Diceros bicornis minor: one gene and its partner. The protein of the gene in region 2 interacts with the protein of the main gene of each other region in a pairwise test. Links are inferred from orthologs where the notes say so. Each region holds a gene or a part of one and is shown on either strand. Other genes may lie near its edges.

Evidence for each region.
Region 1: the proteins of HSPB1 (region 2) and NVL interact in binary tests that used the Homo sapiens proteins (3 or more experiments, as listed by UniProt). The link is inferred for Diceros bicornis minor from reciprocal best matches to the Homo sapiens genes HSPB1 and NVL.

What each region holds. Positions count from the first base shown.
Region 1 is NC_080777.1:9,450,526-9,458,592, reverse strand, and holds the start of NVL (nuclear valosin-containing protein-like), read right to left. Parts: upstream 3,032-8,067; 5' UTR 2,822-3,031; coding exon 2,765-2,821; intron 1-2,764. UniProt on the Homo sapiens protein: Participates in the assembly of the telomerase holoenzyme and effecting of telomerase activity via its interaction with TERT. Involved in both early and late stages of the pre-rRNA processing pathways.
Region 2 is NC_080765.1:3,494,529-3,500,478, reverse strand, and holds HSPB1 (heat shock protein beta-1), read right to left. Parts: upstream 2,099-5,950; 5' UTR 2,040-2,098; coding exon 1,670-2,039; intron 1,046-1,669; coding exon 982-1,045; intron 893-981; coding exon 703-892; 3' UTR 579-702; downstream 1-578. UniProt on the Homo sapiens protein: Small heat shock protein which functions as a molecular chaperone probably maintaining denatured proteins in a folding-competent state. Plays a role in stress resistance and actin organization.

The sequences.
Region 1 (8,067 bases), on a different chromosome or scaffold from region 2:
AGTAATTCAGTGAGCGAAATACAAGAGCACAAGCCCTGCACTTGGCATGTTTGAGAAGATCCATGTGGTTGGGACAGTGTAAGCAAGGGGGAGAGCAAAAGGACAAAAAAGTAGACATGGTCAGAATATGTAGGGCTTTGTAGGGTGGGTTTTACACCAGATGTCTGCGAGTCCACTGAAGGGTGCTGAGCAGGGCCCTGGCAAACTCCAATTTTCCCTTTAAAAGCATCTTCCTGAAATATCTGCCAATCATACATCCAACAAGGGGTTTATTTCCAAAATATATAAAGAACTCATACAACTCAACAACAAAAAGATGAACAACCTGATCAAAAATGGGCAGAGGATATGAACAGACATTTTTCCAAAGAAGATACACAGATAACCAACAGGCACATGAAAAGATGTTCAACATCCCTAATTGTTAGGGAAATGCAAATCAAAACTACAATGAGATATCACCTCACACCCATCAGAATGGCTATAATCACCAAGACAAGAAATAACAAGTGTTGAAGAGGATGTGGAGAAAAGGGAACTCTCATACACTGCTGGTGGGAGTGCAAACTGGTGCAGCCACTATGGAAAACCGTACGGAGATTTCTCAAAAAACTAAAAATAGAAACACCATATGATCCAGCTATTCCACTACTGGTTATTTATCCAAAAAACATGAAATCAACAATTCAAAAAGATATATGTACCCCTATGCTCACTGCAGCATTATTCACGATGGCCAAGGTGAGGGAAGCAATCCAAGTACCCATCAACAATGATGGAAACCTACTCAGTCATAAAAAGACAAAATTGTGCCATTTGCAACAAGTGAAATAAGTCAGACAGAGAAAGACAAATACTGTATGGTTTTACTCATATGTGGAAGATAAACACACACACACACATAGATAAGGAGAAGATTAGTGGTCACCAGAGGAAAAGGGGGTGGGGGGAGGGCAAAAGGCATAAAGGGGCACATGTGTATGGTGACAGACAAAAACTAGACTATCGGTGGTGAACACGATGCAATCTATACAGAAACTGAAATATAATAATGTACACCTGAAAAATACACAACGTTCAAAGCCAATATGACCTCAATAAAAAAACAATTTAACAAAAATAAATAAATAAAAATATTTTCTACAGCTCTAAAATAAATAAATATATAAATAAATAAATAAAAGAAAAGGATCTCCTTGGCAACTCTCTGGGGAACAGACTTTAGGTAAAACTAGAACCAGAGAGCTCAGCTAGGAGGTTAGTGCAATAGTCTAATAAAGAGATGGTAGTGGGCCGGCCCCGCGGCTTAGCAGTTAACTGCGTGCGCTCCGCTACTGGCGACCTGGGTTCACATCCCGGGGACGCACCAACACACTGCTTGTCCAGCCATGCTGAGGCAGCGTCCCACATACAGCAACTAGGAGGATGTGCAACTATGACATACAACTATCTACTGGGGCTTTGGGGGAAAAAAAAAGGAGGAGGATTGGCAACAGATGTTAGCTCAGAGCCGGTCTTCCTCCGCAAAAAGAGGAGGATTAGCATGGATTTTAGCTCAGGGCTGATCTTCCTCACAAAAAAAAAAAAAAGAGAGAGAGAGATGGTAGTTTGAACTAGGATGGTTGGAGGAGGAGATGGTAAAAAGTGGTTGGGTTTGGAGTATATTTTGAAGGTAAAGCCAAATAACTGTTGATTAATTGGTTATAGGAAGCAAAAGAAAGGAGTCAGAACGATTCTTAAGATTTTTGGCCTTAACAGGATGGATGGTGGTGTCATTTACTGAAATAGAAAACACTTAAGAAAGGACAGGTTTGGAGGAGAATATCACAAGTTCACTTCGGATATGTTATGTTGAAGATATCTGTCAGACGTTCAAGAGGAGATGTTGAGAAGGCAGTTGGATATATCAATCTGGAATTCAAGATAAAATCTGCACTGGAGATATAAATTTAGGAGTCATGAATATATAGACAGTATTTAAAGATATTAGACTGGATGAGATCACCTGGAAGTGTGGATAGATAAGAGAGAGCTACGAGGATGAAGAAAGAGGAGGTAAGAGCACAGGAGCTCCGTGCACTTCCAACATTTAGAGACTGGTAGGAAGAAAGGGATGCAAAAAGGAGACTGTATAGTGAGGTGGGGGGAAAAAAAAAGGAGAGTATATAGCTCCCAAAGTCTATTGTGAAGAAAAATCGCCCCCTCCTTCTAAGACTGCCTGCTGACTGTGGCATTCCAAGACATTTAACACACATTGCTTTCTACTGATAATTAAGAAAACGAAAAAGCCATAGGTAAAGTGCCTATTATAACGTCAGATCCGTGTTACTTACTCTTACTGTGTCGCAACCTGACCCCGAGTTTCCTGAAAACAGAAATTAATGTATTCTTTGTGGCCCCCAAAGCGCCTCGTAACAATGTGGGCGTCTGAAAAACGTTTCTGACCTAACTTCACAAGACAGGAAGATTTTAACTCAAAGGCTAGCTCCACCCTCCTTACGGATCTGGGCTGAGGTCGATCAGAGCCGAGCAAGCCCACCAGGCTGCACCCTCCCACGGTCCGGGGCTCCTCCTTGAAACCCCGCCCCACGGTGAAGAGCGCAAGCCTCACGGAGGAGTGGAACTGTCAACAGACCCACGCCCGAACCCAGACTGGGGCAAGGGGCTAGCGGAGTTCGGCCTGGGAGCAGCCCGGGAAAGGGCCAGCGGTGCCCTTGGGCACGAAGAGGGAGCACTGTGAGCCCCAGCCGTGCAGAATACCCACCTGGATGACTCGCTGCTTCAGCTTATTATCCACGAACCTTGCAGGTCTGGGCTTCATCGCGGACACTGTCCCCGCGGCCGGCTCCACGTGAACCGGGGACCTTCCCGGGGCTGCCCGCGGCGACCGCCGGGCCCGCTGCACCCGAAACGCGCCCCGCCCGGCCTAGCCCACGCCGCTCCCCTCAGGACTTTTGTCCCGCGAGTGAGGAAAAAAAAAACCCGAGAAAGAGGAGAAGTCTTGAAAACATCAGGGAGTTTCTAGGAGTCTTATTTTGCAGGCTTGTCCGACAGGTCCTGGATGACAAGGCCCCGTTTGAACAAGCTCAACTTTATTGTTCCCGGCTGTGCGGACACGTGCGCGCGGTGGCCGCCGGGAGGTTCCCACCTGGGCTCTGTCGCCAGTGTCTGTTGGTAAACTTGTTTCCTTCGTCGTGTTCCAGCTGTAACAGCCACACCCTGTTGGGTTACAAAGTTAGTCTTGGCCTGGAATCCTAACAAAATTAAAAGCTAGATATTTGGGACTGACGTTGTGGAAACCTTGTTTGTGACTCGTTTTACACTTTCCAGTTCTTTCCCTGAGACTTCATTCAGTCTTGCATTACTGAATCGCCTCTGGCTAGGAGCGAAGAAATTTACTTTAGGAGGTGATCAGTGACTTTAATCACCTGCCTACGTGTCCCTTGAGGCAAACTTTACTTTGGAATGCGAGGACACATCTTATTCATCCGTCCCCATGCCCTAATCTTTGAGGCTAACCAGACCACCTAATACTTTCTCTTTTGACATTTCTCCACAATAGTAAAATAGGTAAAAATGGTATATAAAGGCCCTGCACAGAGTCTTGCACTGCAGCTCCTTACTGCCCACGGGTCCTGTCCCCATGCTGGAACACTTGCTGCAGCTCCTTACTGCCCACGGGTCCTGTCCCCATGCTGAACACAAAATAAAAGTGCGCAAACGAAGGAGCGGCTTGTGTCTGAAAATTCTTATTCTGCTCGCGACTCAGCGGCCCCACTTCAGGACGATTAAATCAGGATAAAAACACACTGCCACCCTGATACTTGGTTTTCCACCTAATTACCCACATTATCAGGCGGGAGAAAGGGGCTGGGTGTCAGAAGAGGAAGGACTGGTTTACCCCGATAACTAAACCATCAGCTCCATTTGGGAATCCTTTGATCTTATGCTATTTTCGCCAGAAAATTTGTTGAGCACATCCAGTGCAAGACTTCATCTTGGTCTGGAAACTGCCCGGGATTTTATTAAACGTATGTATTTGCCCCAAGAAGTTGATCGTGCAGTTAAGGAAACACAAATCAAGGGACAATTATTATTAATCCAAAAAGAAGACGAAAAAGAAGAAAGTTGCCAGCTTTAGTTTCTGTTTGCTTGCTTGTTTTAATGTTTTCAGTATTCTTATTTGAGGTCTTATTTGGTTTATGACAATATTAAGTGCAGCCTAAGTAGTGTGTGAAGGTGTGGAGAGGCGAGGAGAGGAGATGGAATTAAGATAAGATGGTGAGATGTTGACAGATAACTTTCTCTTCTTATTCAGGATACCGCTGACTTTTCCGTTTATCTTCTTACTCAGGATACCGCTGACTTATTTTCCGTTAAGAGTTCAGATCATATCACTGCTCTTTTCAATGGTTCTTTTCTGTACACTGAATAAAATATAGATTCTCGCTCTGATGTTCAATACATTGGTCAACTTGGCTCCAACTTCATTTCAGTTTTTCACTGTATATGTTCTCTGCTTTTAGCTAAGTACCATTGCCTATATTTATTGTCAGTGAATGTTTGTTGAAGGCCTACTATGTCAAAGGCACTGGGTACAGCTGTAAAGAAACAAAAGATTCCTGCTTCTGTGGGGCTTACAGTTCTATTGGAAGATAATGATAATAAACAAATTAATAAATTATACACAGCACTTTGCTTATTTGACATTTTTTCCTGTCTGCAATGCCCTCTTCCTGGCCAACCTGTGACCTTCAGAATCCTAGGTAACAATCTCCCTTTCAACCTTTCCTGATATTTCCCTTTGTTAAAAGCTCCACCCGTTGAACCTTCCTCTCATTCATTCAACAAGTGTTTATTGAGTGCCTACCAGTTTCAGTCCCTGCCCTGCGCTTGAGTTCTTGTGGGGAAAAGCAAAAGAATTATAATTTTAACTTTGTTTTTTATTTGGTGAGGAAGAGTGGCCTTGAGCTAACATCTGTGCCTATCTTCCTCTATTTTATATGTGGGACGCCACCACAGCATGGCTTATTGAGTGGTGTAGGTCCACACCTGAGATCTGAATCTGTAAATCCTGGGCCGCTGAAGTGGAGTGTGCCAAACTTAACCACTGCACCACCGGGCTGGCCCCTAATTGTAACTTTTTATAACATCTCTTTTCATCAGATCAAGTATTTATGTGCTTGATTAGGGGCCGGCCTGGTGGCGCAGGTGGTTAAGTGCCCACGTTCCGCTGTGGCGGCCCGGGGTTTGGCAGTTTGGATCCTGGGCGTGCACCGACGCAATACTTGGCAAGCCATGCTGTGGCGGCGTCCCATATAAAGTGGAGGAAGATGGGCACGGATGTTAGCCCAGGGCCAGTCTTCCTCAGCAAAAAAAAAAGAGGAGGATTGGCAGATGTTAGCACAAGGCTGATCTCCTCACAAAAAAGTAAAAGGAAAAAATAAAAAGAAAAAAAATAAAATATGTGCTTGATTATATTAAACTTTAGCAAAGATTCCCTACAGCAAATAGCACAAATATAGTCAATGCCCAGTAACTTTTTAAAGTAATTTAATTCTGTGCATGCCAAGTGTACCACAGAGAATCAAAACAGGCTGAAGAGCTCAGCAGCAGCACAACACATACCAAGCAGCATAGTTTATTGGTCTATAATTTGTCACAGAGTAGTATTCTGTGTTTAGGGTTGGCTTCATGGATGTGTGACCTGTGCAGTCACGAAGGGCTTTGTGCTCAGGAGGGGCCCACACATGGTTTAATGCTCTTGCTGTTGCCATCTTGAAATTGTTAATACTTATTGAACAAGTGGCCCCTTATTTTAATTTTGCACTGGGCCATGCAAATTAGGTGACCCATATGGACCTGAAGAACTCTGGAATGCTAGCTTCTTAAAGGCAAGGAGTGTGTTTTTTACCTCTTTACTGCATCAGGTGCGGTAGTCAATAAATGAAAGTCAGTTAATATAGGTACCAATAATGGTGTGCTTGAACCTTTTCCCTTGGGATTATATCCGACAATTATTGCCCTGAAGACAATTTCACAGTAGCATACATCTAAACCAAAAAGATTACTGAATACTAGTAACTTCAGTGCATAAACGTCTCAAGAACTTCCTGCGGTAATTGAACCGTCCTCCGTTCTTTAGTGGTGCAACCCCCCCTAGCGGTAGTGGCACATTTCACCTGTTGTTCACACCTTCGCCCTCCAAAACTTTGTATCTCACTAGCAAACAGCCCCTTGTCTAATTGTGCTTTATAATCGGGTGACCTATGTCCTGATTTACTCAGAACAACCCTGATTTTTGCCTGTTGATCCAGCTTAATTATTAATAGTATTCCCTTTGTGGAAATAAGTGAAAATCACCCAAATGAGAGCAGGCAAAGACTATTCAGAACTTCTAATAGAAAGGGAGTCAGTCACCATCACTGGCATTTTGGCAGAGACTCAAAGGCAGGCAGAGGAATGGGAAAGTTTATAGCTGAAAAAGGGAAGCCTTCAAATGTGCCCTGACTGAAGACTATGAGCATGGGGAAGCTGTAGGTGGGCTAACTAGAAGCAGGGCATCCTTTGTGACTAGTTAAGGGAGCATATTTGTCTTTCTCTAGTTGGTCCTAAGTTGGAAGCAGTGAGAAAAATCAGAGAAGCTGTCAGTTATTAATGGAGTCTTGGCCACTTGGGGCCAATTGTTACAGGATTTATTGTTTGGCTTCCTGGATTGTTTGCTAGAGACAGTGATCTAACTTTGTACAAGTCAGACTTATAGATATCAGGCTGGCTTCCTGGGTTGGTGGCTGCAGATGGTAGGCTGGCTTTCTGAGCTGGTTGCTGCAGATGGTAGCCAAAGTTCTGTTTTTATATATGGTCTGGCCGTTCCTTCATATGGTCAATTTCTCACCTTTTTCTCTCAAAGGGGTTTTAATTTGCACAATAAATTATATGGTCACCCTATGTATAGCAGAAACATGGAGAAAAAGGTGAGAGTGTGCATGGCAGAGGTTCCTTACCAAGGAGGTTCAAAAGGGAGGTTGTCTGCTTGCTGGGAGCTGCAGACTGAGTCTGTATCCATGTTTTCTGAGGTTAAGAAAAAAAACCCTTTGGGGCTGGCCCCATGCATAGCGGTTAAGTGCGCACGCTCCACTGTGCAGCCCAGGGTTCCCAGGTTCAGATCCTGGGCACACACTGACGCACTGCTTGTCAAGCCATGCTGTGGCGGCATCCCATATACAGTAGAGGAAGATGGGCACGGATGTTAGCTCAGGGCTAATCTTCCTCACAAAAAAAAGAAAAGAAAAATTAAAAAACTCTTTGATATATTTGTTTAATTTGGTGAAGGCTAATAATTCAGTTTTCTAATCAAGTTTGTCCTCCTTTGAAATGATCGCCTCATTCATGTCCCTCATCTTGAAGAGAATGAATATACTATTTTGAGCTAGCATTTTCTGCATTCAGTCTACAAATGTTTGTTGTTGACTATACGCTAGTTACTATGCTGAAGTCAGAGGATACAGTGATGATCAAACAGATGTGGTCTTGGAACTTATGTTCTAGTGAGAGGGACTGGCAAAACCATAAACATATAATTACAATAATGAGAAATAATGCAGATTTCATAGTCCTTGGAACAGTACCTTTCATGTAGAAGGTTTTCAGTGAATAATTGTTAGTAAATGAATGAAAACTGTGAAGAAAATAATCAGGCTACTATGATGGAGAATAACAAAGGGAGCCTACCTCAGTCTGAGCGATCAGGGGAAGACTTTCTGAGAATGTGACCTATAAGGACCCTAAGGAAAAGCGTTTCAGGTAGAAAGAGTATGCAAAGGTTCCAAAGCAGAAAAGTTGACCTGTTCTAGGAACAGAAAGAGAGAAGAATAACTTGTTTCTTGTTTAAATCACCATTATTTGAGCATTCTGTCATTCACATTCAACATTAACTTGAGTGAATATAGGTTATTTGGAGGAATTTCAGAAGTTGAGTCTAAGATAAATGAGAAAGAGCAAATGGTCAAGAAAAGCCAAAAGATTAGTGAGTAAGAACTCAGTATCATTATTCTTTTTTAAAAAAAA
Region 2 (5,950 bases):
AGGGCAGACAAAGGTGGGTGTGACTGTTCCTGCCTGGGACAGTCAAGGCAGCCCTCCTGGAGTGACCGCCTTCCCAGTTAGGACTCTGTGTCTCTTCCACCAAAACCCGGGCCACATTGCCCTCACTCTCTGCAGGACGCCCTTGGCCTGAGAGCCCAGGCCCCACCCTGCAGGCACGGGTGTGCGGGAACAGGTCCTTCGACTAGGCCAACCTCCCCTCAGAAAGTCACCTGGAGTTGCCACACCTCCTATACCGTCTACAGGGTCCTGCTCAAATCTGGAAGAATAATGAAGTCAGGAAGGGACTCTGAGCTCCCAGGAAGCTCCCCTCCCTCAGCCCTGCTCCGTCCCCCTTCACCTGACCCTAGCCTAGGTGTCCCTGAGGGCCCAAGCCTGGGCCAGGTGCCTCTCCTGGTTTCCCCGCTCCCACACCTGCCCCTGTGATGGACACCACTGTACCCACAGGGCCCAGCATGGGGCTTGGCACACAGCAGGCCCTCAGCAAATATGATGAATGTGTGAGCCAGCAGATGGCACTGACCCCTAGGCCTCCACAAACACCAGGGTCTGAGGCAGTAGCAGGCAGGGACTTGAACTTTATTTGAGAAAAACAGAAGGTGAATGTATCAAAAGAGTATACAGATTGGCAGGTGGGGATGGTCAGTGGTGGCTACTGGGGGGTAGGCAGCAGGGCTAAGGCCTTTACTTGGCTCCAGGCTGCTCCGACTTCCCAGCTTCTGGGCCCCCCAGCTGGGCACGTGCCTCGAAGGTGACAGGGATGGTGATCTCCGCCGACTGGGTGGCTGACTTGGGAATCGGGGCCTCCACGGTGAGAGTGCCCTCAGGGGACAGGGAGGAGGAGACCAGGGTAGGGTCCACACCTGGGGGCAGCCTGGACATGCAGAGAGAGAAGCCGAGAGTTACACACCAGTCTGTCACTGCACCCTCCCCACTCCCCCACAATCTGGCACCAGGACTTACGTGTATTTTCGAGTGAAGCACCTGGAGATGTAGCCATGCTCGTCCTGCCTCTCCTCGTGCTTGCCTGGGGGGAGAGTGAGGTCAAAGGTTGGGGGGAGAGGCCACCTCAAAGGCCTGCCCCCGTCCAAACCTGCCCCACCTGCCCCACCGGGTGGCCGGGATTCATGGCCCCCAGGATTCATGGAGGAGGAAAAATGACTACGGAATTTGGGGGCCCCGGACTGTCCCGGGCCCTAAGAAGCTTCTGGAAAGCTCAGTTCAGGGTTTGGGGGGGGTGGGGGCGTGGCGCCAGGCTCGTGCACACGCCCCTTCCGCAGACCAGAGCTAGGGGCAGGGACAGAGCCGACAACGTCCTCTTCACACTGACCGCGGAGGGGGGGGGGAGGCGCGGGTGGGCGCTGCGAGACCTGGTCATTGGGGGTGGGTGTGGGGGAGGGGTGGGGGTGTCTCCTTGGAAGGGAGCGTTTCTTCCCTTAATAGCGCGTTTTTACGGCCGAAAGGCCCTTAGGAGGTCCCCGCAGGCCCCATTCTAGAGCAGGGGGCACGGGCTAGGGGGCAGGGCGGGGAGGCCAGGCCCAGCCGAGGGCTCTGGCCTTCGGTCCTTGGCTAATTTTTCACTGCCCAGGCCTCTGGCTCACGGTCCAACCCCCGCGCCGCCAGCTTCGTCGCCGCGGGGCGGGGGGCTCACCGGTGATCTCCACCACGCCGTCCTTGGTCTTGACGGTCAGCTCCTCGGGGGCGAAGTGGTTGACGTCCAGGGACACGCGCCAGCGGTCGGCGGTCTGCCGGATCTCGGAGACGCCGCTGCTCAGCTGCCGGCTGAGCGCGCGGCTGTAGGCGGGCACGGCCACCGCGCCGGGGCCCTCGATCGCCGCCCCGGGCAGCGGGCGCACGTAGCCCGGCCAGCCGCCGTGGCTGAACCATTGCGACCACTCCTCGGGCAGCCGGGGCAGCCCGAAGGCCTGGTCGAAGAGGCGGCTGTGGGCCGGGTACCAGTCGCGGAAAGGGTCCCAGCTGGGGCTCCGCAGGAGCGAGAAGGGCACGCGGCGCTCGGTCATTCTTGCTCGGCTCTGCGCGTCTGGCTGCGGCTCGGAGAAGTGCTGGGCCCGGCCCCGCAGCGCTTTTATAGGCCTCCAGACGGGTATTTTTAGCAGGCGGTGTTTCAGGTCTCTATTAAAGGCAATGACGGACTAGGGGCAGCTCCTCCCCCGCATCCCTCCCTCTGCATACCGGGGTGGGGGCGGGACGAGGAAGGCCCGGCCCACATCTGGAACCTTCTCTTGTTCAAGAAAACAGATGACTGGAGCACCGATGCTGGTGCAGTGCTCACTGCCGGACACTCGCAGGCCTGGGCGCTAAAGTGCTGGGCCGCCGACTGTGGGCAGTCCTATCCTTTTGTCCAAGGGGGCAAAGCTGAGAGAGGTTGGGCCGCCTGTCCCAGGACACACAACTAGGAAGTGGCAGATCCAGGATTTGAACCACCGAGTGTCTGTGAAAGAATGTCTTAAGAAGCAGGCTGGTGGGGTTTTCAGAGTGTGAGCTCTGAGGCCAGACTGCCTGAGGTCACATCCTGATTCTGCCACTAATTGGAGGAACTTGTGTGAGTTAGACTCTGGGTGCCTTAGTTTCTCCATCTGGAAAATGGAGACGATGATAATAATAATGCTTACATCATTGGGTTGGTGTGAGGATTCAGCAACTTAATGCAAGTAAAGACTTCAGTCCAGGGCCTGGTACATGATAATGATTAGTTATTGTTATTTTTGTCCACCTGAAACTGAATAGAGGGACGAGGAAGGAGAGTGTGCATGTACCCCTATTGCAAAGGCAGTGCTTGTGTGGGTTTGGCCATTTTCTCTGTTCCCCCTAGGGGGGCTGGCCCAGGTAAGATACCCCAAGGCCCAGTGCTGAGAGGGGGTCAGGAGGAGGTTATTGTGAAGTCTCCCCATCATATCTGTCCTTCCTTGAGGAGCCCTGCACAGGGAACCTGAAGGGCCACAACCTTGACTGTAGTCTGGGCTTTGCCATGGACTTACTTGTGATTCGGAGCAAGGCCCCTCCTTTCTCTAGGCCTCAATTTCCCTTTTTGCAGATTATGATCTCAAAGCCCCTTTTTTGTTGATGATTCCCATGGCACAAAGGGCAAGGGGGCTCCAGGCTGCGCAGTCCACTCACACTGCCTGGAGCCTGAGGCCTGCCCCTTGACCTCACCTCCTCTCTCTCTGACCACTTATGGATCCAGGCCCCCATCTCCCAACTCTGGGAGAGGGCTCTGCCGCAGGCTCCTGCCGTAATCCTGACGGTCCCTCTCTCTTGCCTTCACATGCACCACCCTGGTCCAGCCTTATTTCTCCCCACTTATGTCCTATGATCTTTCCTTTTTAGATGAGGAAACTGAGGTTCAAAGAGATTAAGTGACTTGCCCACTGTCTCCACTGGGACACTAGCAGAGTAGCCTCTTACCTCTCTAGTGCCCAGGGCTCTTGCTGTTGAGGGCTCCCATCTTGGAGTCCCCCCGCCGTTTCTCTCTTTCTTGCTTGCTGCCCCTCTCCCGGGGCTGGGCTGAGGATGACCTCCTGCCAGTTCTGTAGGGGGCCTTTTGCTACCCAGGACACCTGAGGGGCTGGAAGCCAGACTCTGAGCCACTCGCCTTGATGAGTTGGGGGTAGCACCAAGTCTCATGCCCTCTCTGAGCCTCAGTTTCCTCTTCAAGAGAGAAAGCTCCTGGATGCTCTTCTTCCTTACCCACCTGCTCCCCATCAGAAAAGAGCTGAGGCTGGGCATGAATCTGAGGTCACCTCTGAAAAGGCCTCTGAGCTCCTGGGGCTCTCGTGGGCCAAGGGTGGGAGGCAGACAGGACCCATGCCCTCTGCTCCACCTCCCTTGCTGGATCATGTCATGAGCTAGTGGGTCTGAGTTGGGAGCTACTGGGCGTCCCCCAAGGGTCTCAGCTTCAGGAAGCCCTAGGCCTTCACTCCCTGGCACTCCCAGCCCCACCTTTCCCCAGCTCTATAAAGTCGGGGTGAGGTCAGGAGCCTGGAGGGCTCTCGTCCACGCCTGCCTGCCCGCCTTGGCCCAGACTGGAGCCCAGGTGTCCCACCCTAGAGGGAGCTGTCCGGTGTGGTCATGGATGCTTTCAAGTGTGGCCCTGCCAGGCCCAGTCACGCTCTGGGTGGGGCTGCCTGGCTGGCTGCCAGCGCTTTGCAGACACAAGCTCCCTTCATAGCTCCCTTCATCTGCCTGAAACCAGGACAGGGAGGATTTATTCCCACTGCCCCAGCCAGGGGAAGTTGTGCAACCCAAGTTGCAACCCGCACAGCACTCTGCCCACGGTGGGTGGGGAGGCAGAATTGAGAATTCACATCCATCTTCAACGGGGCAGTTCTTGAGGGACTCTTAGATCACCCTGCCAATCACAGGGAGGGGACAAGGGTGGCTCTGGGTGGTGGTAAGAGGGTGTAGGGTATGTGGGAGAAACTGGCTTTTGGGGTCAGACAGCCTGGGCTTCAATCTGGGTGCTGGTGTTCACTGGCCTGTGACCTCTCTGAGCCCACAGGTCCCCATCAGCAAAACATGACTACTAATGTGCCCATCTTGCAGCGGTGAATCTCAGATGCAATAACGTGTGTGAAGTGCCTGGTGCTCAGTGAAGTGTCCATCCTTATTAAGGGAGGAGGGCCTTTCATTGTTTAGATGTTGAGACTTAGACTAATGAAAGTTACCCAGATGTACGCACTTTATATAGAGTGTCCAAGTATCTTATCAGGCTCGTGAGTCTCCTGATTCTGGTGCTGGAGAGACTTACCAGGCCGTCCAGGGAGGGCTGTGGGTGCAGGGTGAGGTGTGCAGCCAAAGGTTGCCTGTCGGGATGGGGAGGGTTGGGCCAGGCTCCCTGGGGTCCCTCCAGCTCTGCCCAGGTGCCCTTCCTCTAGGAGGTTGCACCCCTGCACCCAGGCACAGGGCTTGGAAAGAGAAGCAAAGGCTGACGTCAGCTCCTCTTGCCCACCTTCCCAGATGTTCTTTGACAATCTTCCACTCTAGCATTGGGGCACTGAGCTGCCAGGAGTAGTTTTTCTGAGATTATGAGGATAAGTCCACCCCCCAGGGATTTCCCAGAAGCCAGGGGGACTGGAGGTAGATGGGCACTGCAGGGTCTGGGATTCCTTAATCACAAGGGCCCACCCATCATCCCTAGCCCCAAAGTCTGGGGTACTCTGCCGCAGCCCCAAGACCAGCCTCCCAGCCTCCCAGCCTGGCACTGTGCCTGAGGCCTTGGCCGCATAGCCACACCCTCGGCAGTTCTTTGCCAACTGCGCTGAGCCATTCTCTCCCTTGCTGGCCCAGCCTCAGAGAAAGCGCTGGAGTCTTCAGGCAACTGCCCGAGCTCCCCAGAGAGGCCTGACAGCTGACGGATTGCACCAGTCGCTGGGCCTGCTGGGAACTAAAAATGTGGGCAGCAGTAATTAGAGTGCATGGGGTGAGGGGCACCAGGTCTTTCTGGAAGCGTCTAGACACTGCCCCTCAGGGAGTCCATTTCCATCTCCAGTCTATCCCCTAGGCCTCTGGCTTCTGGCTGGCCTTGGGGTCACTTCGCACCCATCACTGCTGAAGGGGGGCCAAGGAGGGGCCAGGTGGGAGGGCTGGGGATCCATCCTCTGGCCCCTCCCGCCCCGCTGTCCAGCAGAAAGAATCTGTCTAGCTTGGGAGTCTGGGGATCTGCATGTCTCTCACTCTGTGACCTTGGCTGGCGGCCGGCTCCCGTGACTCATTTTCTTCATCTGTACAATGAGACCATTGGACTGGATGTTCTCTAAGGCTCCTTCCAGCACCGTGAATCAACAGTTTCTCCTCCACTCTCCTTCCTCCCCCCCAGGTCCCCTGCACCGACTGCCCACTCTGCCTGCTAATGCTGCTGGAGCGGGTGTGTATATGGTGAGTGGAGGCAGGGGTGAGGGAGGACCTGGAGATG